2 linked regions of the Elephas maximus indicus genome follow. The protein of the gene in region 1 interacts with the protein of each later gene in a biochemical or structural test. Links are inferred from orthologs where the notes say so. Each region holds a gene or a part of one and is shown in the gene's direction. Other genes may lie near its edges. The genes, in order: FYB1 and SKAP1.

Region 1 (11,492 bases):
TGAATGCTTCGAAGACCAGTGTAGCAGGGGCGGGGGTTTGGGGACCATGGTTTCAGGGGACATCTAAGTCAATTGGCATAATAAAATCTATTAAGAAAACATTCTCCGTCCCTCTTTGAAGAGTGGCATCTGGGGTCTTAAATGCTAGCAAGCAGCCATCTAAGATGCATCAATTGGTCTCAACCCACCTGGATCAAAGAAGAATGAAGAACAACGAGGACACAAGGTAATTACGAGCCCAAGAGACAGAAAGGGCCACATGAGCCAGAGACTACATCAGCCTGAGACCAGAAGAACTAGAAGGTGCCTGGCTACAACTGATGACTACCCTGACAGGGAACACAACAGAGAACCCCTGAGTGAGCAGGAGAGCAGTGGAATGCAGACCCCAAATTCTTGTAAAAAGCCCAGACTTAATGGTCTCACTGAGGCTAGAAGGACCCTGGTGGTCATGGCCCCCAAACCTTCTGTTGGCCCAGGACAGAAACCATCCCAAAGCCAACTCTTCAGATAGGGATTGAACTGGACAATTGGTTGGAGAGGACTGCTGGTGAGAAGTGAGCTTCTTGGATCAGGTGGACACTTGAGACTACCTGTTTGCAGGGGAGATGAGAGGGCAGAGGGGATTAGAAGCTGGCAAAATGGACACGAAAATAGAGAGAGTAGAGGGAGGGAGCGGGTTGTCTCAGGGGGAGAACAATTGGGAGTATGTAGTAAGGCGTATATAATTTTTTGTGTGAGAGGCTGACTTGATTTGTAAACTTTCACTTAAAGCACAATAAAAATTAAAAAAAAAAAAAGATTTTGTAACTATTTCTAACCATCTAACCATCGATGGCAGTGAGTATGTTAATTTCAGGGCCTCCAAAGAGTTCAGTCTCATTCAACCCCTGCTGAAAATTTGTTTCTGCTCCCGATGTACTGAATCAGAATCTACATTTTAACACAATTCCCAGGTGATTCTTATGTACATATGACCTGGGGAGTGTGTTGAAATGATGAGAGTCACCTGGGAACCTTGTTAAAATGTAGATTCTGATTCAGGATATCTAGGGTGGAAATGCAAATTCTCAGCATAGACTCAAACTGGAAAGAACAGTTTGGACACCCTGGTTAATGTTAAGGAGCCCTAGTGGCCGAATGGGTAAGTGCTAGGCTGCTAACTGAAAGGTCTGCAGTTCAAACCCACTATTGGCTCTGCAGGAGAAAAGACCTGGCAATCTACTCCTGTAGAGTTTACAGCCTAGGAAACCCTACAGGACAGTTCTGCTGTGTCCTATAGGGCCACTGTGAGTTGAAGTCAACCCTTCAGCACACAACAACAACAATATTAATTTTAGAGCCCCTGGATAGTGGAAACAGTTAATACGCTTGGCTGCCAACTGGAAGTTTGGAGGTTCAAGTCCATCCAGACAGTGACATCACCAGGGGGTGCAGGGGGTGTAGGGAGTATGGACCACACCAGGTGACACTGTCAGAGGGGTGACACCAAAAGTACTGTCTATAAAATTTTTGTGCAGTGTTTTAGAAGAAATTTAACATTTTTTATAAAAATATCCCTGTAGTAAGTTACAAAACTAAAAACATTTTTCATAAGCTCAGCTTATATGTATCAATATACCTACAAGGCTAAAACTCTAGGCTAATGTACTTTTTGAAACTTTCAATGTACTCTGGTCAGAGCTGTCGTTATTACTCAATTACAAGGAAACTTCAAATCACGTGGTTTCCTCAGATTACACAGTATAAGCACACGCTGTTGTTTTCGTTGCTGCAGGTGTTTTTATAGTTTCTGATTTCCTCAAATTTTCTGGTGTTTTAGCTACAATATTGAGGTATATATTGTTTGTGAAACTGTATCGATAACTTTTTTTGAGAATGAAGCCGTATTAAAAGAAAAAAGGTGAAAAGTCAAAAAAGGGCTTCTGGTGTCATTAACAATGTTGTAAATAATGTATTTCAACGTAGAAAGATTTTATAAAACAATTCTCTCGTTAGTATTCACATAATCTAAGAAATATTACATTTATGCTATTTACAACTTTATCACATATTATTCTATGGTTAAAACTGATAATAAACATTGCTAAGGATTCCATATCATCTGGTGCAGGACAGGTCCATCAGGGGGTGACACCAACCTGAGTGACGCCACTGCACCCATAGATACCTCAGAAGAAAGCCCAGGAGATCTACTTCTGAAAAATTAGCCATTGAAAACCCTATAGAATACACCTCTACTCTGTCACACATGGAGTCACCATGAGTCAGAATACACTCGATGGCAACTAGTTTTTGTTCTATTTATGTTAATTTTAACCACACTACCTGTTAAAGTCCTGAGAGATGGAATACTGCCAATGTTTTTGGGTCATGCTAAGTAGCGTTTCTTTAATTTTTATCACTGCTCTCTCTCTATTTGTAAATTGGCTCAGAAAAATGAAATTAGCCATGCAGTGCCAATAGGCCTCACAGCCTCCACCTAGCTGTTTCACCTTCAGTGAGTATACAGGGACCAACATCAAAAACCAAACCCGCTGCCGGCGAGTCGATTCCTACTCATAGAGACCCTACAGGACAGAGTAGAACTGCCCCGTAGGATTTCCAAGGAGGCCTGGTGGATTTGAACTGCCAACACTTTGGTTAGCAGTCAGAGCTCTTAACCACTGCACCACCAGGGCTCCTCCTACACAGAAAGACTCGTTTTAATCTTGCCCAGACAAAAACAGCTTTCTAGGATGTAATCTGTGTCAAGAGAATGTATGCCTAAATATGCTATTTAGAGAAGCATAAGCACTTTTATATTCTCTGAGCTACTTCTCCCTTCCACTTGCGGGAATAATTGCAGTGCCCTGGTTGGGAAGATATAACTTTATCTCTTTTTTAGATATTGACTGTCACCTTTGCTGTATTTCCTGTTTTATCTTCTTGCTCAGGAGCTTATGTACTTAACTGACTTCACAGGAAATACACTCACGTGTGTGATACGTGAAAGATATACTCAAGAGGAAAGTCATTATGCTCCAAAAACTAAAACTAAAAATTTACTGTTAGATTATTAGTTGGTTCGGGGTAAATGAGCTTCAACCCTTACCTGCTTTTTCTTAGTCAAAATTCTTAAATAGATGTTTTTGAAAAACTGCTGAATTTATTTCAATAACAACTAAAAATTATCTTAACCTTCATTTAGAAATAATCACAAATTAAATGGAATTCAAATTGAAATTTAAACATGTCTTACCCAGAAACGTTTCCAGTTGTTTAGCAAAAAATTGCTAGATTTCTCTTTGTAGTGTAATTTTTTGCCTAACTTACTGGCGGAGAGAGAAAACCACAGAATGATTCAGCATAAGCAATTGTTATGTGGTGCATGATGAAACTACGCTGATAAACTTAGCACTAGTCAGTGGCAGAGTGTCAGGACCTGCTTCTACCTGCAAAGCTTGCCTGGTGCTCTGTTCACCACTTGCCTCTTTCCTGTACTTTGGAATCAACTGGTGAGCTTTCAAATGTCTGGGTCTCAAACCCAGAGATTCTGATTTAATGGTCAGGGGTTGTTATGGATTAAATTGTGCTCCCCAAAACTACGTGTCAACTTGGTTAAGCCATGATTCCCAGTATTGTGTGGCTGTCCTCCATTTTGTGATTGATGTAATTTTCCTATGTGTTGTAAACCCTAATCTCTGCCTATGGCTAATGAGGCAAGATTGGGTTATGTTAAAGACAATTAAGGTGGAATGTAACACCTTTACTCAGGTCACAGCCCTGAGTCAATGTAAAGGGAGTTTCCCTGGGGTGTGGCCTGTATCACCTTTTATCTTACAAGAGATAAAAGGAAAGAGAAGTGAGCAGAGAATGGGGGACCTCATACCACCAAGAAAGCAGTGCCAGGAGCAAAGTTCGTCCTTTGGACCAGGGGTTCCTGTTCAGAGAAGCTCCTAGTCCAGGGGAAGATTGATAACAAGGACCTTCCTCCAGAGCCAACAGAGATAAAAAGGCTTCCCCTGGTATTGGTGCCCTGAATTTGAACTCTTAGCCTCCTACACTGTGAGAGAATAAACTTCTGTTTGTTGACTCCATCCACTTGTGGTATGTCTGTTTTAGCAGCGCTAGGGTCGCTATGAGTCGTAATCACCTCGATGGCACTGGGTTAGATGACTAAGACAGGTGAAGCATAGGAATTTAGATTTTTTAAAGCTTTTTTCTGGGATGATTTTAATTTACAGCCAAAGTTGAGAACCACTGACTTAGACCTCACACTGTACCTGCACTGTGATAATCTTCGTTCCAACAGAATAAGAAACTTTCCATTTAAGATGAGGAATGCTTCCATTTCAAGGCCTTCTAAGGTCTTCTTCTGGCAAATGTGTTGTATCTAAAAGCATGCCTAGTTCTCATACCTCGGTCTCGCCTTCATGTTTCCTCCCACTGATTCAACAAGGCTGGTGGTGCAGTGGTTAAGAGCTCAGCTGCTAACCAATAGGTCGGCAGTTCAAATCCACTAGCTGCTTCTTGAAAACTCAGTGGAGCAGTTCTATTCTGTCCTATAAGGTTGCCATGAGTTGGAATCGACTCAACAGCAATGGGTTTATATGGGACGTTTATTATGTGCCAGAATTGTGCAATTTCAGATTCCTGAGTACCCACCTAGCTTCTGTTAGCACCCCTAAGACCCACCTCTCTTATAATCTGAAGGTTTGTGGACAATTCCAGGGACTTTCCTATCTCTGGCGCTTGGCCCCTGTCCTGGCTTTCTGCCTTGTTGAAGCGATGATGCTATCCGTATTTCTAATCACATCTTGATTTTGAAAAAAAATTTAATTTTAAGGAATAAATAGTATGCAACCTCTTTTTTAAGAAGGGATTTTGTATGGTCATGGTAGTAATTAGAATTAGCACAGCATCAAGCATAGACCCTATAGTACTTAAAACAAGATCTAGAAAGTTGCAGCCCAAAATTAAGTCAACAGTTGTCTTTCCTTTGAAATGAGAAATAAAGATGATCTTCTGCTCTTGAAACTGCTTTATTATCAGGCTATAAGTTCAAAATACAGGAGATAAATTCATGTACCAAAATGTGTTCGAAGGGGTAATGTGGTGTAGGAATATTTAGGATGAAATATGCCTTTCACTCAAGCATATCTAGTTCAATATGGTGAGAGACTGAAGCATCTGATGCTAAAAAAGTTAGCACATGAAGCTGGACTGACATTTTTTAATGAAGGGAATGGCATCCTATGATAAGCTTATGAATATTTTGACCATTTAAATATTGGCAAGATGGGTTTAAATACATTTGGAATTGTCACTGACTAAAATTATCATGTTGCTTTTGTTCTTTTTGAGATTATAACTATGTTTAGAAACATGCATTACATATTTTGAATAGAAAACTAAAAAAACTGGGCAAAGTATAAAACAAAAATAAACATGTAACAATACCTTCATCCAAGTCAACCACTGTTAGCATTTGGGTGTGGGTCTTTAAACAAATAAAAATAAATAAATATATATATATATACACATACACAAATACAGATTTTATATAAAACAGACTAACAATGTGCACAGAATTTAATAATTTAATATGTGGGCACTTCTTAAAAAATTCTATGTCAATCTTTCGGACTTCAAAGCTTTACCTATACCTGCTCTCATATATTGAAGTATAATAACTAGACAGACCTGGCCAGTTATACAAATTCTCTAAGATCAGGGATAGCATGCAAATACAGCCTTACATATCAGTGTGTGGAAGCTGGACAGACCACACAGTTCAAAAAAGGAAGTACACTCTGCGGGACTAACTTGCACATTCATTGTCCAAGTTACAGCATCTTCTGGGCCACTGTATGCCAGGCACATCAACTCTTCCCAAGAGAAATGGTAAGTAATAGATTTTATGACTCTTCCTGGTCTCCTGACAAACTTAACTAATATTCTGTAACTAAAGCAGAGAGGGTTAAGGGTGCTTTAAGGCCAGTTGCTCCAAGCTTTTAGGATTCTTGCGTCTTTGCTTTTCCGTGTACTAACAAAGCTGCTGAGTCTTTATTACACGAGTTGAAAGACAAGAGACTGTGGCTTCAGGAGTTCCTTTTTCTAATTCTAGCCTGCAAAAGAAAGGAAGAGAGCTATGCCTTACAGAAAGAAAAGTTGCATTCTTTGTCTCTGCCTCTTAAGTTAGCTGGGTGCCAAAACCAACAATACAGTCAAGTTTGGTATTATGAGCACTTTGGATTCCAGAAGACGACCTCAGTGGTATATGCTGGGCAATATTGCTGATGATGAGCACCATTTTGGTAACAGTGAATATTAGAGGAGTTCTTTTGCTTTTTTTTTTTTTTTAATGTATGTTATAGCTTTAATTAAAAGAAGGGAAACAAAGCCCAAACAGTCCAAACCTTAGGGACAGGCTGTGTTCCCAAAGTTAATTGAAAGTCATAGTTTGGAGCATACTTAAAATACTGACTGAGTTCCCGGCTGTATCATGAAAACAAAGTATTATAGCTGAACTATAGCATTAATATTCTTCTACACAGTTCCTGATTATTTCTCTGGGAAAATTGGCTCCTAAAATTATATTTATAGCTATACTTGTATTTATATGTATGGTGTTGATTCTGCTCCCAGGGTGGAGAAGGGAGCCAATTCTATGTCCCACACTCTCTTTCAATGCTCCAGCCCGTAGAAGAGTGGAGATTTGTTATCCCTTCTCTTGTTACAGAGCCCTGGTGGAGCAGTGGTTAAGAGCTCGGCTGCTAACCAAAATGATCAGCATTTGAATCTACCAGCTGCTCCTTGGAAACCCTATGAGGCAGTTCTACTCTGTCCTATAAGGTCTAGAGTCTGAACCGACTCTACGGCAATGGGTCGGTCTCCTGTCACACAGAGGATTACTTCCTTTCAGTATCCACAAGTCAGCAGACAGGGACTGAGACAATGACTCCTACAAGCACGCCACTTTGGGAGTGGGAAGTGTTGCAGATATTTGAATAGGGAGGACGAAGCGTTCACGGGATGTGTTTGTAGTCTGGAAGCTCTCTGAACCAGGCTGGAGAAAGTGGAAGAGGTGAGACGGTGTAACTCTGCCATGAGAGAGGGAGGGGGGAGGAAAAAAGACGGATGGAATCAGAGATGCTGAAGTTGTGTTGTTTTTGGCCGCCATGGAGTTGCCCCAGCTAATTGCAACCCCATGCACACCTGAACAAAATGCTGCCCGTCCTAGTTTTGGATTGGACAGCTGGGATCCATAGGGTTTTCATTAGTAGATCACCAGGCCTTCTTAGTTTGTCTTAGTGCAGAAGCTCCACTGAACCTTTCAGCATTGTAAAGCCAAAAAAAACCCCACTACCATCAAGTAGATTCCAACTCGTAGTGACCGTATAGGACAGAGTAGAACTGCCCCCATAGGGTTTTCAATGTTGTAAATCTTTAGGAAAGCGGGCTGCCACATCTTTTTCTCCTGGAGCCCCCCGGGTGGTTTCGAATCTTTGACTTTCCAGTTAGTGGTGGAGAGCTTTAACCACTGCACCACCAGGGCTCCTTCAGCACCATAGCAACATGTAAACCTCCACCAACAGGTGAGTGGGGGCTCAGCATGAGGTGCATTGTCCAGGAATCAAACCCTGGCGGGAGGCAAGAGTTCTACCACCAAATCGCCACTGCCTCTGCTGAAGCCCCAGGGAGAGAAATGCCTGGTGGTGGAGGAAATGGTAGACCTGATACTATCTGCTGCCCTGCCGGCAGAGGACGGAAGTCACAGGTTGAGGTAAGACTTATAAATCCCCTCTGGTGTTTCCAAACTAGACTTTAGGTCCAGGATTCTCAGAAAACACTTTGACCTTAATTGCTAATATCCTCTTCAAAAACAAATGAGGGCACTGTGGTTTACAGAGAGCTGTTTGGATTTTCTTAAGGGAAACACAATGATAATAACACAGAAAAAAAAGAAAGCTTAACTGGATAGTGCATATTTTATGTAATACATAGGCAATGGTTTCTTAAAAGATTAGTGTTTTCTTATGAGTAACGCCTATTATTTTTCATTCCTTAAACATATAAAACTTTTTTTTTCATATAGATAGGTAAAAATGAAATAATATGTATTTTCTATAGCCCTATCACCTAAGGGATGATCACTGCTAAGCTGAATTTCATCATTTTAAAAACATATTTTATAAATGCAATTTTCTGTAGCTGCTAATATACATTTTATGAACTGCTTTTTAAATTAACATATCTTGAGTAATTTCTGAGTTATAGCATAAATATATGTATACATATATAATCATTTTTAATGACTACATAGTATTCCATAATTTATTTAATCAGTTCCATATAGTTGGACATTTAGATTGTCATAAGTATCCTTTTATATACATTGTCTGATTTTCCATTGATAGAATGGCCGAGAGAATAGTTAGGTGAAAAAATACATATATTAAGACTCTAACACAAGTTATGCTCTGGTTTTTTTTTTTTTTTTTTTATGCTCTGGTTAAACATTTTAAGTTTGCTTACTGGATAGTGGCATAGTACATGAGTTTCTCATTTGCAATTGAGATACGCACATGCCTCTCTTTGTAGCCTGTCAAGGTGACACAAAGGAAGGATTTTCCCCTTAATTTCTTTTTCCCCAACATCATCCCTGACATTCTATGACAGGTTGTGAAAGGCACATAATGTATTAAGAAAAAAAACTTTCTACTTTTTCTCTTCGAAAGACATTACGGCACAGTCCAAAGGTCGTATTCGGGCTTCTTACGTACTAGCTTTGTTTACTAGCCGTGCGTTTTTTTCACAAGTCACATAAACTCTGAGTTTATTCCCTCGTCCAAACATAATGGTAATGATGACGTGGAGTTGGGGGAGGATGACTGGAATGATGATCATAACTTTCACACAGTGTTGTTGTGGAGAATAAACAAGATTGCATCCATAGAACACCTGTTATACGGCAGGCACTTGGCAGATACTGGATGAATGTTGATTTTCTACCTTCCCACCCTAAATACGGCATCTCAGTGGTTAAGAGTTCAGTCACTAACCAAGAGGTCAGCAGTTTGAATCCACTAGCCGGTCCTTGGAAACCCTATGGGGCAGTTCTACTCTGTCTTATATTGTCACTATGAGTTGAAATCAACTCAGCAGCAACGGGTTTGGTTTTGGGTTTTTTACCCTAAATATATAATTTCCTACGGAGGCATAGAAGCTCCCAGTGAACACAGGAGGAGAATGATAATTGCAGTTAATATTTGTGAACCCTGACATACACGTTTATTCTGTTGTTAGGTGCTGTTGAGTCAATTCCAACTCATAACGACCCTATGCAACAGAGTGAAACACTGCCGGGTCATGCACCATCCTCCCAATCGTTACTGTTTGAGACCACTGTTGGAGCCACTGTGTCAAAACATCTTATTGAGGGTCTTCCTCTTTTTGAATGACTTTCTACCGAATATAATGTCCTTTTCCAGGGACTGGCACCACCGTCCTGATAGCATGTCCAAAGCACTTGAGACAAAGTCTCACCATACCTACTTCTAAGGAGAATTCTGGCTGTATTTCCTTCCAAGGCAGATTTGTTCATTCTTCTGGCAGTCCGCAGTATATTCAATATTCTTCACCAACACTGTAATTCAAATTCATCAATTCTTCTTTGGTCTTCCTTATCCATAGTCCAGCTTTTGCATGCAGATGAGGTGATTTAAAATACCATTGCTTGGGTCAGGCACATCAGGATCCTCAAAATGACATCTTTGCTTTTTAACAGTTGAAAGAGGTCTTTTGCAACAGATTTGCCCACTGCAATGCGTCATTTGATTTCTTGTCTCCTTCTTCCATGGGCATCGATTGTGGATCCAAATAAAATTAAATCCTTGACAACTTCAAAGTTTGTTTATCATGATGTTGCTTTTTGGTCCAGTTGTGAAGATTTTTCTTTATGTTGAAGTGTAATCTATACTGAATGCTGTAGTCTTTGATCTTCATCAGTAATGCTTCAAGTCCTTTTCGCTTTGAGCAAGCAAGGTTGTGCCCTTTGTACAACATAGGCTGTTAATGAGTCTTCCTCCGATCTTCCTGTATTTTTCTTCATTTAGTCCAGCTCCTTGGATTATTTCCTCAGCATACAGATTGACTATGCTGTTGGTTTACGAAAAACCAAAATCTTAAGTAGACACGCATTATCTCATTGTTGTTATTAGGTGACGTCGAGTCAGTTCCAACTCACAGCAACCCCATGCACAACACAACAAAACACTGCCCAGTCCTGAGCCATCTTTGCAATTGCTGTTATGCTTGAGCTCATTGTTGCAGCCACTGTGTCAATCCACCTCATTGAGGGTCTTCCTCTTTTCCGCTGACCCTGTATTTTGCCAAACATGATGTCCTTCTCCAGGGACTGATCCCTCCTGGCAACATGTCCAAAGCATGTAAGACACAGTCTCACCATCCTTGCTTCTAAGAAGCGTTCTGGTTGTACTTCTTCCAAGACAGATTTGTTCATTCTTTTGGCAGTCCATGGTATATTCAATATACTTTGCCAATATCACAATTCAAAGGCATCAATTCTTCTTTGTCTTCCTTATTCATTGTTCAGCTTTCATATGCATATGATGCGATTGAAAATACCATGGCTTGGGTTAGGTGCACCTTAGTCTTCAAGGTGATATCTTTGCTTTTCAAAGATTAAATTCTCATTAAATTCCCACAATAATCCTTACAAATAGTTACTACAATTATCCCTATTTTATAACAGAATAAACTGAATCTTGGAAAGGGTTAAGTAACTTGCTCAGTCACACAGCTAGCAAATACTAGGACTGGAATTTGAGCCCAATTCTATCTACTTTCAGAGTTTGAGCTTTTCTACATCATACTGCATTGGAGAAAAGGTAGATGTCGAGGAAGACAAATAGCGGTAAAAGAAAAACTCAGGACTGGCCTTTGGAGGAAACTCTGGTCGTGTAGTGGTTGAGAGCTTCATCTGCTAACCAAAAGGTCAGCAGTTTGAATCCACCAGGCCCTCCTTGGAAACTCTATGAGGCAGTTCTACTCTGTCCTATAGGGTCGCTGTTAGTAGGAATTGAGTCGAAGGCAATGCGTTTGGTTTTGGTTTGGTCTTTAGATGTGCGAGGGGCCTTTTCTCAGGCTGGTGACCATCTTGGTCGCTTTGGGAATCAGCTGTCCTAAGTCTTCTGCTACTTCCACTACCAATTTTCCTACTTTCAGAATGCTTACTTTGTAGAAAAGTTGCAGAAGCCACTGGCATGGGAGATTGAAGGGGTTGCTGGCTTTATTGTTTCCCACCCCAGGGTTCTGAGTTGTTGTATGCCATTGAGTCACTGCCCCATAGGGTTATCCAAAGAACAGCTAGTAGATACAAACTGCCAACCTTTTGGTTAGCAGCCTGAGCTCTTAGGGTTCTAAACCAAACCAAAACTAAACCCAGTGCCGTCAAGTCGATTCCGACCCATAGCGACCCTATAGGA
Region 2 (11,668 bases), on another chromosome or scaffold:
CAACATCCCCCCCCCCGCAAAGAAATGGTTGCCCCTTTTATACAGCTTTCAAAACTGATCATGTCTGCAAATATCTAGCCTACAAAATTGGCCTAAGCCCTTCTTGCCTCCCCAGGCAGATTAAACAGGTAAACTGCCTCCACGTCTCAGAGAGCAGGAGGCAAAGGCATCACCTGGCTGCAGCTAACATACTCTGAGTCCCTGCCCCCACCCCTCAACTCAAATTCCCGTGAGAACCAATCAAAGACAGAGAATGTCAGAGTCAGCAACCTCTTGGTCCTTAGGGCCTCCAAAAGGCTCAGCAGTGTCCATAGGGGATACGTAATGTGGTCTAAGAGAAGGGCAAAGGAGATACAAAAAAAGAGGGTGGGGGCAATCAGGGAATATAGGGGAAATAATGTGAAAGAAAGATAAAAAACAAAGAAAGAAATGTTACATGGGGGAGGACTAACAATGATTCCTTCACAGATCCACTCAGGATCCCTAGGCTGTCATTATCCATCTCAGCTACTGAGTTCTACAGGAGCTTTGGGCCAGCACTGGAGACCTGGATTCCAATGCCGGCACAGTTCCCTGGTGAGCTGGGAGGCCCTGGGCAGAGTGCTGGGTAGGTCTGTTTGTTATCTTGAATTTGATCACCTGGAAGATTTTTTTGAGTTTTAATCATTCCTTGTTCTGTTCCAAGGCTCTGTGTCATTGAGAACCTGTTTATGGGAAAGGTCCCTGATATGATAGGAAAAAAAAAAGAACCTGCTTATTTTGTTGTACGTATTAGTGCAGAGAATCTAGGAGTGTGAGCTAGAAGCGGACACCATCAGAAGTGCATTTGTGTGTGTGTGTTGTGTTAATTAGCTAACTCTCCTAAGTTGAAAGATTAGCTAATTAGTAAGAGGAGGCTCTGGCAAGCTGTGAAAACCCTGCATTTTAAAACCACCAAAGTGATGGGCCCAAGTTAGCATTTCATGCCTTAGTGGTGGCATGGGGTTTGGTTTCTGGGGCCCTGCAAAGCACACAGTGAGCCTGGCTCTTGGCATCGACAGGACGAATCATCTCTTCTTCCACAGCCCTTAATGAAGTGTGCAGCTCTTATCCTCATTAGGCCCCAGCATTGTCAATAAAAGAGTCAATAAACCCGGCTGATGGGGTTGGGACCGAGAGGCTGAGATGCAGCGGCCACACATCCACAGGGCAGACATCAGCTCCGCCGCGTGTCATGACCCGGTGTCCCGGGAGCAATAACCAACTCGGAACAAAGCCCAAGAGCCTGCCCTCTGAAGTCTCCTCTCCAGACCCATTCTACCCAGGGTGGAACAGTGCCAGCCGGCACCTGCTTTGCTTGCATTTGTTCCCACTCCATGCCATTCTGGGTGCCAGATGCTTTTGTTTCTTCCTGATTGAGCCCTCTGGACACCCCATGGATGCATATTTAGTGAATTTCCACCTGGCATGAGGACATATAGACAGCCTCCCCCAGCAGCCCAGAGGCCAGCAGGGGCCCTATTTTCTGTCTGCTGACAGTGTGTGAGGGGCTCCAGTGACAAGAGGGTATATTTTCTGCATGTTGTGCTGCTGGACTCCATTCTTGGCTGCTCTGCATCTCTTTAGATACCCTTATCTTATCTAATTACAAGGAATTTCAGATTAATTTCTTAGCCTCTGCTCCAAAGGACCTCTTATCAGTGAGGGCCTTGCACTTTAACCTTGTCATTCTTTTGTTGTTTGCCTTTAAGGGGGGGGCACCTAAGATCTTGCTGGAATTGGGGTTGGGGGGGAGGGGAGAAAGAGGGAGGAGACAGACCTGGGATTTGTGTATTCTGCTCCATTCCCCCCGCCTGTGTGCAGAGACAGCTGGCTGCTTACTTCCATGACAGCCACGTGGTACCCAGCCACACAGAACAGGACCTGGGCAGGGACTCATCTGCTGCCAACCTCTTCGGATCCCTTTGATATTTCTGACAGAGCAGTAAAGGACTCTTGACTATGATGGTTTGCCTTGCCTCTCTCCACCTCCTCTAAGACTCCTTGATGTGGTTTCCATGGCTACCCCCAATCAGATTTGGCTTCCTTCGAAATTGGATTTCAAAGAAGGACAAGGTTTCAAAGGAATTTGTCCATTTAACAGAATGTCATTAGGAGTGAGGCTGACTGCTGAACTAGGGTCCTCAGATGATTAAGAAGGGGCTGTGCTCATGTGTGGAGGCAGGTTTCTGTCTGCAATGAGGAACCTTGATGCAACATGACAATACCGTACTGGAATCTGCCAGTCAGCCACCACATGCTATCCAACCCTGTGCCTCTCTCTACCCCTACCTCTCTAAAACCCAGAGATTCCTGTGGGGAGGAATGGATGTAGAATACCTATGCAGTGAGTTTCTGCTCTTTCCCTTGGTATAAGTAAGCTCTGACAGGCAGTGAGGCCTTTGAGGATGTGCAATTACCTGGGTTTATTGCTCCTTATCAAAAAACTCATTAGCTTGTAGCCTATATTAGCAGGTGACACAATATCTTTGAAGAAGGGGGGTTGTTGAATTTTTCTTTCACTCCTGAGAGGGGAGGCAAGGCAAAGTGCTGAGGTGCCATATAGGAGGGGTTTTGTTTCCTTAAAGGAACCATACCATGGTGGCACAGTGGTTAAAGCACTTGGTGGCTGACCAGAAAGGCCAGTGATTTGAAACGACCAGCTGCTCTGAGAGAGAAAGATGTGGCAGTGTGCTTCTGTAGAGATTAAAACCAAAAAAGCCAAACCCGTTGCCATCAAGTCAACTCTGACTCATGGCAACCCTACAGGACAGAGTAGACCTGCCCCATAGAGTTTCCAAGGAGCGCTGGGTGGATTCGAACTGCTGACCTCTCTGGTAAGCAGCCATAGCACTTAACCATTATGCTACCAGGGTTTCCCTGTAAAGATTATAGCCTTGGAAACACTATGGAGCAGTTTTACTCTGTCCTACAGGGTCACTGGAAACCCTGGTGGCGTAGTGGTTAAGTGCTACAGCTGCTAAAAAAAAAGGTTGGCAGTTTGAATCTAGCAGGTGCTCCTTGGGAACTCTATGGGGCAGTTAGTTCTACTCTGTCCTGTAGGGTCCATATAGGGCTGTTATGAAAGGAACTCACTTGACAGCAACGGGTTTTTTTTGGTGTAGGGTCACTATGAGTCAGAATTGACTCAACAGCAGTCGGTTTGGTTTTTGTTTCTTTTGCTGTTTTTTTTTTTTTAATAAATTATTTTTTAACACAGTTTTAGATTTACAAAAAAATTGTGATGATAGTACAGAGAGATCCCATATATCCTCCTTTGCTTTTTAACACATGGTAAAAGTACGAAAAAATGATTCAAGAACAGCTACAATTTTATAGAAGGATAGGCAATGAGGTTGGCGAAACTGCCTGGGGGCTACCTGGTAGTTTCTCAGGGGCCTAGAGGGGGCAGCTTGCCCATTACTACACCTTCCCAGGGCACGAAGGAGGACCAGCAGGAGCCAGATTCCCTAGAGACTCCAGCCAGCCTTCTATCCCCACCCGACAACTTGTTGTGGGTGGGTCATGTGACTCTGAAACCAAGGCACCATTCCTCTTCAAATCACAGGAAGCGAAAGTGTAAAGATGGCTCAAAGTCACTGCACCCCCTCAAGGATCAGGCCTCCAACCTTGAGGCTGTATCTCTAGAGGGGAAACTAGGCCAGAAAAGTAGGCACTGCTACCACCGTTTCTTCTGGCTGTTTCTGTCACCACCTCCCTGCTTTAAAAAGAACACATTACCATCGTGACCCTATCGGACAGAGTAGAACTGCTCCATAGGTTTTCTAAGGCTGTAATCTTTATGGAAGCTTTCTTCTATGGAGCGGCTGGTGGGCTCAAACCACCAAGCTTTCAATAAGCAGCTGAACACCTTAACCACTGCACCACCAGGGTTCTTCCCCTTCTTGCTTTAGTTCACCATTATTTCCCTCTGATGCCACCGTAAAAACCACTTCACTCATCTTCCCGATGTCCTCTCTCTTACCACTTCCAATCCTTCCCACATAGTCTGTGGGTTGAGTCTGAGAATAGAAAACTCCATCTTACAAAGAAGGAAAACGGTAGAGGTGAAGTGAGATATGTGAGGTCATATGCTACCACAGAACTCTGATTAGGTCACCTTCTACCTCAAAAATTGTCAATGGCTCCCCAATGCCCATTTGATTGAATTAAAAATCATTCAAGGCCTTTCACAATAGATTCAATTTATTTTGACACCATAGTATCCCTACGCCATCCAGTAAAAGAGGGCTACTAGTAAGCGACTCCACGGCATTGGGTTTTTGGTAGTTGTTCCTTAAGTAGTAGAGGGCTTTTCCATCTGTTTATTCTGGTCCTTCCACTTGGAAAGCGCTTCTGACCCTTCAACGTCTGGCGTGTTTTTCAGAGCCTATTTCAAATGCTACATGCACCACTAAACACACAGACACTTCCCTCCTTTTCTTATACCCATCTCCCTCCCACAGCATTTTAAACCTTTCTCACAGCACTTGGCCTACTGTAGTTTTTTTAAAAGTAAACTCTTTATTGTGAGGTAACTGTAGATTCACACGCATTTGTAAGAAATAATACAGAGATCCTGTTCACCCTTTACCCAGAGCCCCCCAATGGTAACATCTTGTAATACAGCATGGTATCACAACCAGGATACTGATGCCTATGTACTTCGAGTAAGGGGGAGAGAAACTCTCCCCTATGATCTTGGCCTAGCCTCTGTTCATTCTCCTGTTTGTCAGCTCTTAGAGGGAAAGGGCTCTGTACGCCTCTCTGTCAGCTTCCCTACCCAGATACCTGTTGTGGATTGAATTGTGTCCCCCCAAAGTATGTGTCAACTTGGTTAGGCCATGATTTTCAGTATTGTCTGATTGTCCATTTTGTCATTTGATGAGATTTTCCTATGTGCTGTAAACCCTATCAATATGATGTTAATAAGATGGATTATTAGTGTCAGTTATATTGATGAGATCTACAAGACTAGATAGGGTCTTAAGCCAATGTCTTTTGCAATATAAAAGAGATTATCCAGTAGAGACATGGGGACCTCATACCACCAAGAAAGCAGTGCTGGGAGCAGAGCCTGTCCTTTGGACCTGAAGTTCCTGTGCTAAGACGCTCCCAGACCAAGGGAAGACTGATGTATCACAAGGACCTTCCTCCACAGCTGACAGAGACAGAAAACCTTTCCCTAGAGCCAGAGCCCTGAATTCAGACTTCTAGCCTACTGGGCTCTGAGAGAGTAAACTTCTCTTTGTTAAAGCCATCCACTTGTGGTATTTCTGTTACAGCAGCACTAGATAACTAAGTCAATACCCCTTCCTTTCTCCATATCCTTTCAACCTTAGAGGGGGACGCTTTGTCTTCCTGAGTCCATTGCTGCTGCTTCCGCTCCAACTCTCCCAAATGTTGGTGGCTTCATATAATTTACCGGGACTTAAAATCATTCCCTTTAAACATCCAGGTTTACCTGAGATAGAGAACGTTCTGCCTTAGTTTTCTGAGCAACGACGGTGTGGACGGGATCAGGAATTGAGTGGCGCTTCTTGGCTTGGACTAACCTCTTTCTCGGGTTCCGCCTGTTCACACCCTCTTTCAGGCATCTCTGTGGCGTCCAAGCCTTTAGGCCAACTGTTCAGTGCTTAGGTCGGAAAGTCTCAAAGAGACTTGGTTCCTTTGAGTCTTGTGAAGTCCCTCGTTTTGGCAACCGGCCTGTGGGGAAACCTGTCGGCCTCCACGGTGCGGCCCTCCCGCCCGTCCATCCTCGCCACCAGCGGACCTCAGAGCCCCGGTGACGGTGCCGCGCGCCCCCCGCGCGGGCACGCCACGCCCCCACCTCCGGGCTGCGCCCCCGGCCGCGAGCTCCACGGGGGGCGCCCCCCGGCCCGCCGCGCGCGCCACTTCCTGAGCGCGCCCCGGGATCACGGCCCCGCCCTGCGGCTCGGCCCGGCTGCTGCGGCGGGCGACGACGGCAGAGGTACAGGTGCCTCCGCGGCGGTCTCCCCTCACCTTCCAGCCCGCCGGTCTTTGGAACAGGCCTTCACGCCCCTGTCCTGTCTCACACGCCGGCCTTCCTACCGTCCCCGCCAAATGCAGGCCACCGTCACTCTCCCTGAGGAGGTCTTTTGGCTCCTGGAAGGTAACGCCCTGGCCCAGCCCCCAGCTCCCTCCCTCCACCCCCCGGGAAGTCCCTCAAGTGCTGAGCTGAAGGGAGGAAAGGAGACACCAGGGGCTCCCAAGGCCAGGCTTTCTCTTTAGCTCCTTCACTCAAGGCTTCTAGAATCTTCAAAACTAGGTTTTCATCCACTCACTTCAGGGTCCCTTTCTCTCTCTCCAATTCCACATTTTCTTTTTCCTCAAGGCGTCTTTACTACACATAACCTCCCCAACTTCTAAACTCCTCCAGGCCAGGTTGTTGGCCCCTTACCTGTCATTTCCCCCTTAGGACCACGCCCTACATCCGCAGGCTTTCTCCCTTTTCATCACCACCCCCCGCCTGCCCACTTCCATCACCTTTCACAGAAGATCCTCACCTTCCTGCTTAGAGGCCCCTGAGGTTCTGTGAAGGACTCCCAGGGTGAGCCTTTGTTGGTCGAGGCCTGGTGGTTCATCTTAGTTTTTTTGTCAGTGCTGAAACGCCAGGCCTCACTTTATCAGCCTGCAGATTTCTAGGGGGTCTCAATGCTGAACCCAAGTCTAGCTAGAGTTGTCCCATTGTGCTATGTTTACTTTGAAACTATAGTGTCTAAGCAGTCTTTTTAGAAGGTTGAGGCCATACTAACACTCAACACGTACTTCTAACGCTCTAAAGAGACTTTTCCTTAATGGGCAGTATCATCTGCTCAGGTCACACTTTTCCTGGTGAAAGGAAGTTTTACTTGTTTTCCTGTAGCTGACCTTCTAGGAAAGACAGAGATTTGGAGTCTGCAGTTAAATAGGGTCTCAGGAGGAAACCACTTAGAATTAAGCTTTTTGGCATCTAAGTGACATTTTGGCACATACGTAACAGATGGCCTTCTTTGGGCAGGTCATGCTCTTGGCAAGCAGTAGTTTTTCGGTTTCTCTCAATTTAATTGGTTTTACCTCTCCATTACTTTGTTATTTTGATATAAATGCCTCCTAATCAAATATTTGGCAAGTTCTTTTGGTCTCTGCTTGTAGCGCCGTTTCCGCTCTGGATTTCGTCTATGTGAAAACCGTCAACTAGATATTTCTTCTGAGGTGAGGTTTCCAGAATCCATTTTAATTATGACCTGAGTGAGGCTAAAGTTTAGGAATAGAAAACTATTTGCAAGGTAAAAGAGAGTTATCTGGGTTTCTAAGAAGAAGCAATCCAGCCTTTTCCTCTAGTGTTGAGTTGGCTCTTGGTTCAATACTAGGCTTGTGACAAGAGGCTGTAAGTGTCTTTGGTTTCCAGGGTAGAAGAAACTGTGGCGAGAAGTTTAATTCTGCTCTTGCATTTAAAGATATAAAGTGATCCCTTTTTTGGTGTCTGTCATTTGATGAAACCTATCTTACAAGCTTGTTAAACTATACTTCAGTTTTGTGTGTAGCCTTGGTAGAAAATTCCTTTTTATTTTCAGAAGCTTGCGGTGAAACTCCTTCAGCATTTTTGATACGCAGTCCTGTATTGTTCAAAACTGACACTTTGGTAAACAACTCATTTCTGCACCTGCCACCTTCCTTTAACTTAGATTATATTCTTGTTAGCTGACTGTTTTTAATTGAAGTCTTCAGATCTCCTTCTAAAGTAGAACCTTTGTTTGCTGACAAGCAGAGCAGGCGATGAATGGAGATTAATTGCATGTCACATACTTCTGTATCAAACTTGCTGTGTCTTAACAATCTCTGTTGGTATTCAGGTCTTTAGGATACAAGGAGGAGTCTGAGGTTAAATTTTAAAGAGCATTGTATTTCTTTAAGGTTTTTTTTTTTTTTTTTAACTTTGCAATTAGAGTCTGAATCTCAGGTAGAGGGAAAAAAATGTAAAGTAGGATCCAGCCAGTGATCCTCTGGAAAATATTTGAAGACGGTTTTCAAGATTCATTTAGTAATACCAACTTATTGGCTGTAGGTTTAATTTTGTATGGAAAACAGTCTCTAGTGTAGACCAGCAGAATTACTCATTGTGTTACAAATAATTTGTGGATATTAGAAACCCAAAATGGCCATCAATTTATATCTATTGCTGTTTACTCATCTCCCCTTCTATTTAAGGTTAACCCTTGACAATTAGAAAATATGTAGGTCCCGATCTCTCTACAGTCACACAATGGAAGGGAGTCACAGGATGTAAGAGCAGCTTTACTGCTGCCACGTGGCCGTGGGGTGGAGTTTCCACGATGAATTACTACTTTCATAAACCAGGGCATAAGCCTTTGCACAGTGATTTAATGCTGGCCATCACAGCCATAACTTAAGCATTTATTTATTTATAACCACATGGGCATAAATGACAGGGGTGTTTTTTGACATAATGTCTGCTTTTAAAAATAAAATATGCAAAGCATTGTGAAAGGTTTATACCACACTTTTGCATAGTGAAGAAGGGAACAGAAATTCTGAAGGTTTAAAATTAATTTTTTGTAGCGATAAAATTTTAAACATTGGAAAATGTTTAATTTGAGAAACCCCATCTCTAGGAATCCATGTCACTGAAATTAAAGTGCATAAGGTACGTGCACAAAGATCCATCTTAAATGTCCTTGAGTTGGGAAAGAATGAGGGGATAGTTGAATGAATTAAGGGACATCCATATTACAGAATACTTTGCAGCCATTAAAAAGGATATGATACATCTGTATATATGAACTCCGAAAATGTCCATGGCATGTTTTTAAGACTGAAAAAAGCAAGATGCATATTAGTATATATAATACCCTATTTTTGTTTGAAAACAAACAAAACCAAAAAATCACCAAGTATATATGTTTGTGTAAGTGGAGGAAGAAGTAGGAAAATTATACACCAAGCTGTTAACATTGGTTTCCTTGGGAGGGGAGTGAGAAAGTGTTAAAGAGGAGATTATTAATTTTTATTTTATGTATCTTTGTGTTGCTTGAACTGTGACAGTGAGTATACATTACTTTTGTAATCGTGGAAAAAAAAACCCTGTAAGGTTATTTAAAAGAAAAAGAAGGAAAGACAAATAGAAGGTCAGAGAGGCAAGGGTGCTGAAGAGCTGCTAACCATGGTTGTGATTATGTTTTTCTCTTATTAGCCCTAGGAGTATGGAGGGTGGGGAATTAAAATAAAGAAATTGTTCCTTGGAATTTTGGCAAATGTCAAAGCAATGAGAGGCTTCTAGAGTAACTCAGGAAACAGGTTCCTCAGATAGACTTTGTCAGGCTCTCACAGAAATAGTAATTAGTCCCATATCAGCAAATAAGTACCTTATAGATAAATAAAATGAAAGGCGTCTTCTGCCTTATTGAAAGAGGAGGAAATATTCAGGTCTGTTGTCAAATCATTGGGCTGCAGATGCAATAGTTATCTTTTTGTTTTGTTTTGTGATAACACTGAAAAACAACAGGAGCGCGGAGCGCTGGCAGTTTGCATAATCTTTGTTCCACAGATATAAACGTAATCAGTTTCTTCCTTGTCTTTCTAGCCCCCTTTTTGAAGGCAGAAGCAAAAGAGGCAAGTACAAAGGAGGTGGAATAATTTTTTTTTTTTTTTGGTTCACAGTTTGTTGATTATGATGAAGTGGGGCCTGCTGACTTTACCCTGATAGCTGATAGGTCCAAACTACCTGCACGATACCTAAATCCTGCTTAGAATATGGATTTAAGCCAAAAAATATCCACAACCCAGTAGCTGTGTTAACACTGATTCAGATATGCCTCTGTTTACTTACTATTTAAACTTCCTTGGAAAGAAATAGTCATTAATCATTTCCTTCCAGATCGTTCTCCAGATTTGTATTGGTTGTCTCAGCCGACCGTAGAGTCCTTTCAATATAGTAAAACTTCAACTATGTGGAACTCACTAGAGTGAGTTGCTCTGGATAGCTGAGGATATTCTCCTTAAGCACTCTCTTTATTTTATACATTTGTGATCAAATTTTTTTCCTCTAAAAGGCATTAGGAACTTTCCTAACTTCTTCAGCCCATCAGCCTGTATTCAAATGGACCTCCTTTGAACATGTTTTAATTCAGAGCTGTTATAGTGAATATCTGCTACTGTGCTTTACAGAGATAATACTGAGATGTTTCTGTCGTATTACCCCTGGATTGCTTTTGAAGTGTCTATGTCTATTTTTTATTTTTGTCATATTTCCTGCTGTTAGGCCGAGGGCTCTCAGTTTGCACTGTTGTCAGTGAGCCTGTGTCCCTAATACTACAGGAACACTAGATAACCAAGTTTGTTGGAATTAAGATATGTGTAAAGGAAGGTATGAGGGGCTCTCTTGATAGACAAAGTACCCAAGCCCTTACGCATGGACTTTGTGATGTGTATTTTGGCAGCTCAGGGTCTATTTTGGTTAAATTTTTATAGTGAGGCATCTTCTAGATAGGTGAGGTTACTAGTCAATTTAGTTCTGAAAGGTGAAATATGATTATGCTTTTGTTTCTATTTTTATGTTAATTTTTTCTGATTATAAAAGTAATAATGTTCATTGAAGAAAATTAAAAAACACAATAATAGACAATCACATAGTCAACTACTGTTAACTTTCCGAGTATTTTTTTCAGTTTTTATTATAATTTCATACTTTGAAAGTTGGCACATTGTGTATACAGTTTTGTATACTGATTCTTCCACTTACTATTTTCCATTTGCTATTGTCTCTTGAGCATTTTCTTACACCATTATATTATTTTTATTTTATTCAAATTATTTAGAAGTTATACATCCTGTATTTATTCCGCTGGTGGTTTTGTAACCGAACTCGGGTTCTTGTCCTGTCCTATTAGGTGATCGAAATAAGACGGACACCACACCACCAGTTGCAAGGGAAACAAAGTGGATATTTATCGTTTGTGCAAACAAGGAGCAACACGGGGCCTAGCAGCTGAAAGAGCACGGCTTCCTGCCCCAAGGGATCTGGGAGCTTTTAAGTCCTTGAGTCCCCAGGGGACAGAGATTGGCGCCTGAAATCTGAAACCTTGATCCCTCCTATGCCCATATTTGGAGATCCAGGTGCTGAGTCATTTTGCAAAGGTTACCTCTCGCTTTTCAAATGGGCTTGGGCACCTGGTGTGCTGGAAAATATCTTCTTCTCTGGCAATGTTCAAGTCTGGGGTCAAGTTCAGGGCTACAGCTCCTTAGGTCCTGCGCATGTGCCAAGATCCTGGTTCTTGCATGCGCGGAATTCTGGTGCTAAATCCAAATCGCGGTTAGGGCCACAGTGAGATGGTATCAAACCACAGTTAGAAAGTCAGCTTGGCGAGCTGAAAGGGAGGAGGAGAACTGCGGCAGACTGGGGGAGACCTTGGTGGCGGCTTCAGTTTTACCCTTATAGTTAAAAAAAAAAAAAGACCCGTGTTCTTCTGATTAATGACATTAAGAATGAAACAATATTGTTTGGCTCTTTCTTCCAATGTAAAATGTGAAATTGTAATATGTTAGACACAGAATTTCTAATATTTTTATTATATTTAAAGAATTGCTTTTTGACATTTGCATGATATTTTTAACCATAGAAACAGTTATA

The links.
Region 2: the proteins of FYB1 (region 1) and SKAP1 form a complex in vitro, tested with the Homo sapiens proteins (2 studies listed by BioGRID and IntAct, with this or other methods). The link is inferred for Elephas maximus indicus from reciprocal best matches to the Homo sapiens genes FYB1 and SKAP1.

The regions. Positions count from the first base shown.
Region 1 is NC_064820.1:45,056,454-45,067,945, reverse strand, and holds the start of FYB1 (FYN-binding protein 1), read left to right. Parts: upstream 1-5,823; 5' UTR 5,824-5,852; coding exon 5,853-5,886; intron 5,887-6,886; exon of another isoform or gene 6,887-7,069; intron 7,070-7,580; coding exon 7,581-7,768; intron 7,769-11,492. UniProt on the Homo sapiens protein: Acts as an adapter protein of the FYN and LCP2 signaling cascades in T-cells. May play a role in linking T-cell signaling to remodeling of the actin cytoskeleton. Modulates the expression of IL2. Involved in platelet activation.
Region 2 is NC_064837.1:45,075,014-45,086,681, forward strand, and holds the start of SKAP1 (src kinase-associated phosphoprotein 1), read left to right. Parts: upstream 1-5,935; 5' UTR 5,936-6,102; coding exon 6,103-6,151; intron 6,152-11,668. UniProt on the Homo sapiens protein: Positively regulates T-cell receptor signaling by enhancing the MAP kinase pathway. Required for optimal conjugation between T-cells and antigen-presenting cells by promoting the clustering of integrin ITGAL on the surface of T-cells.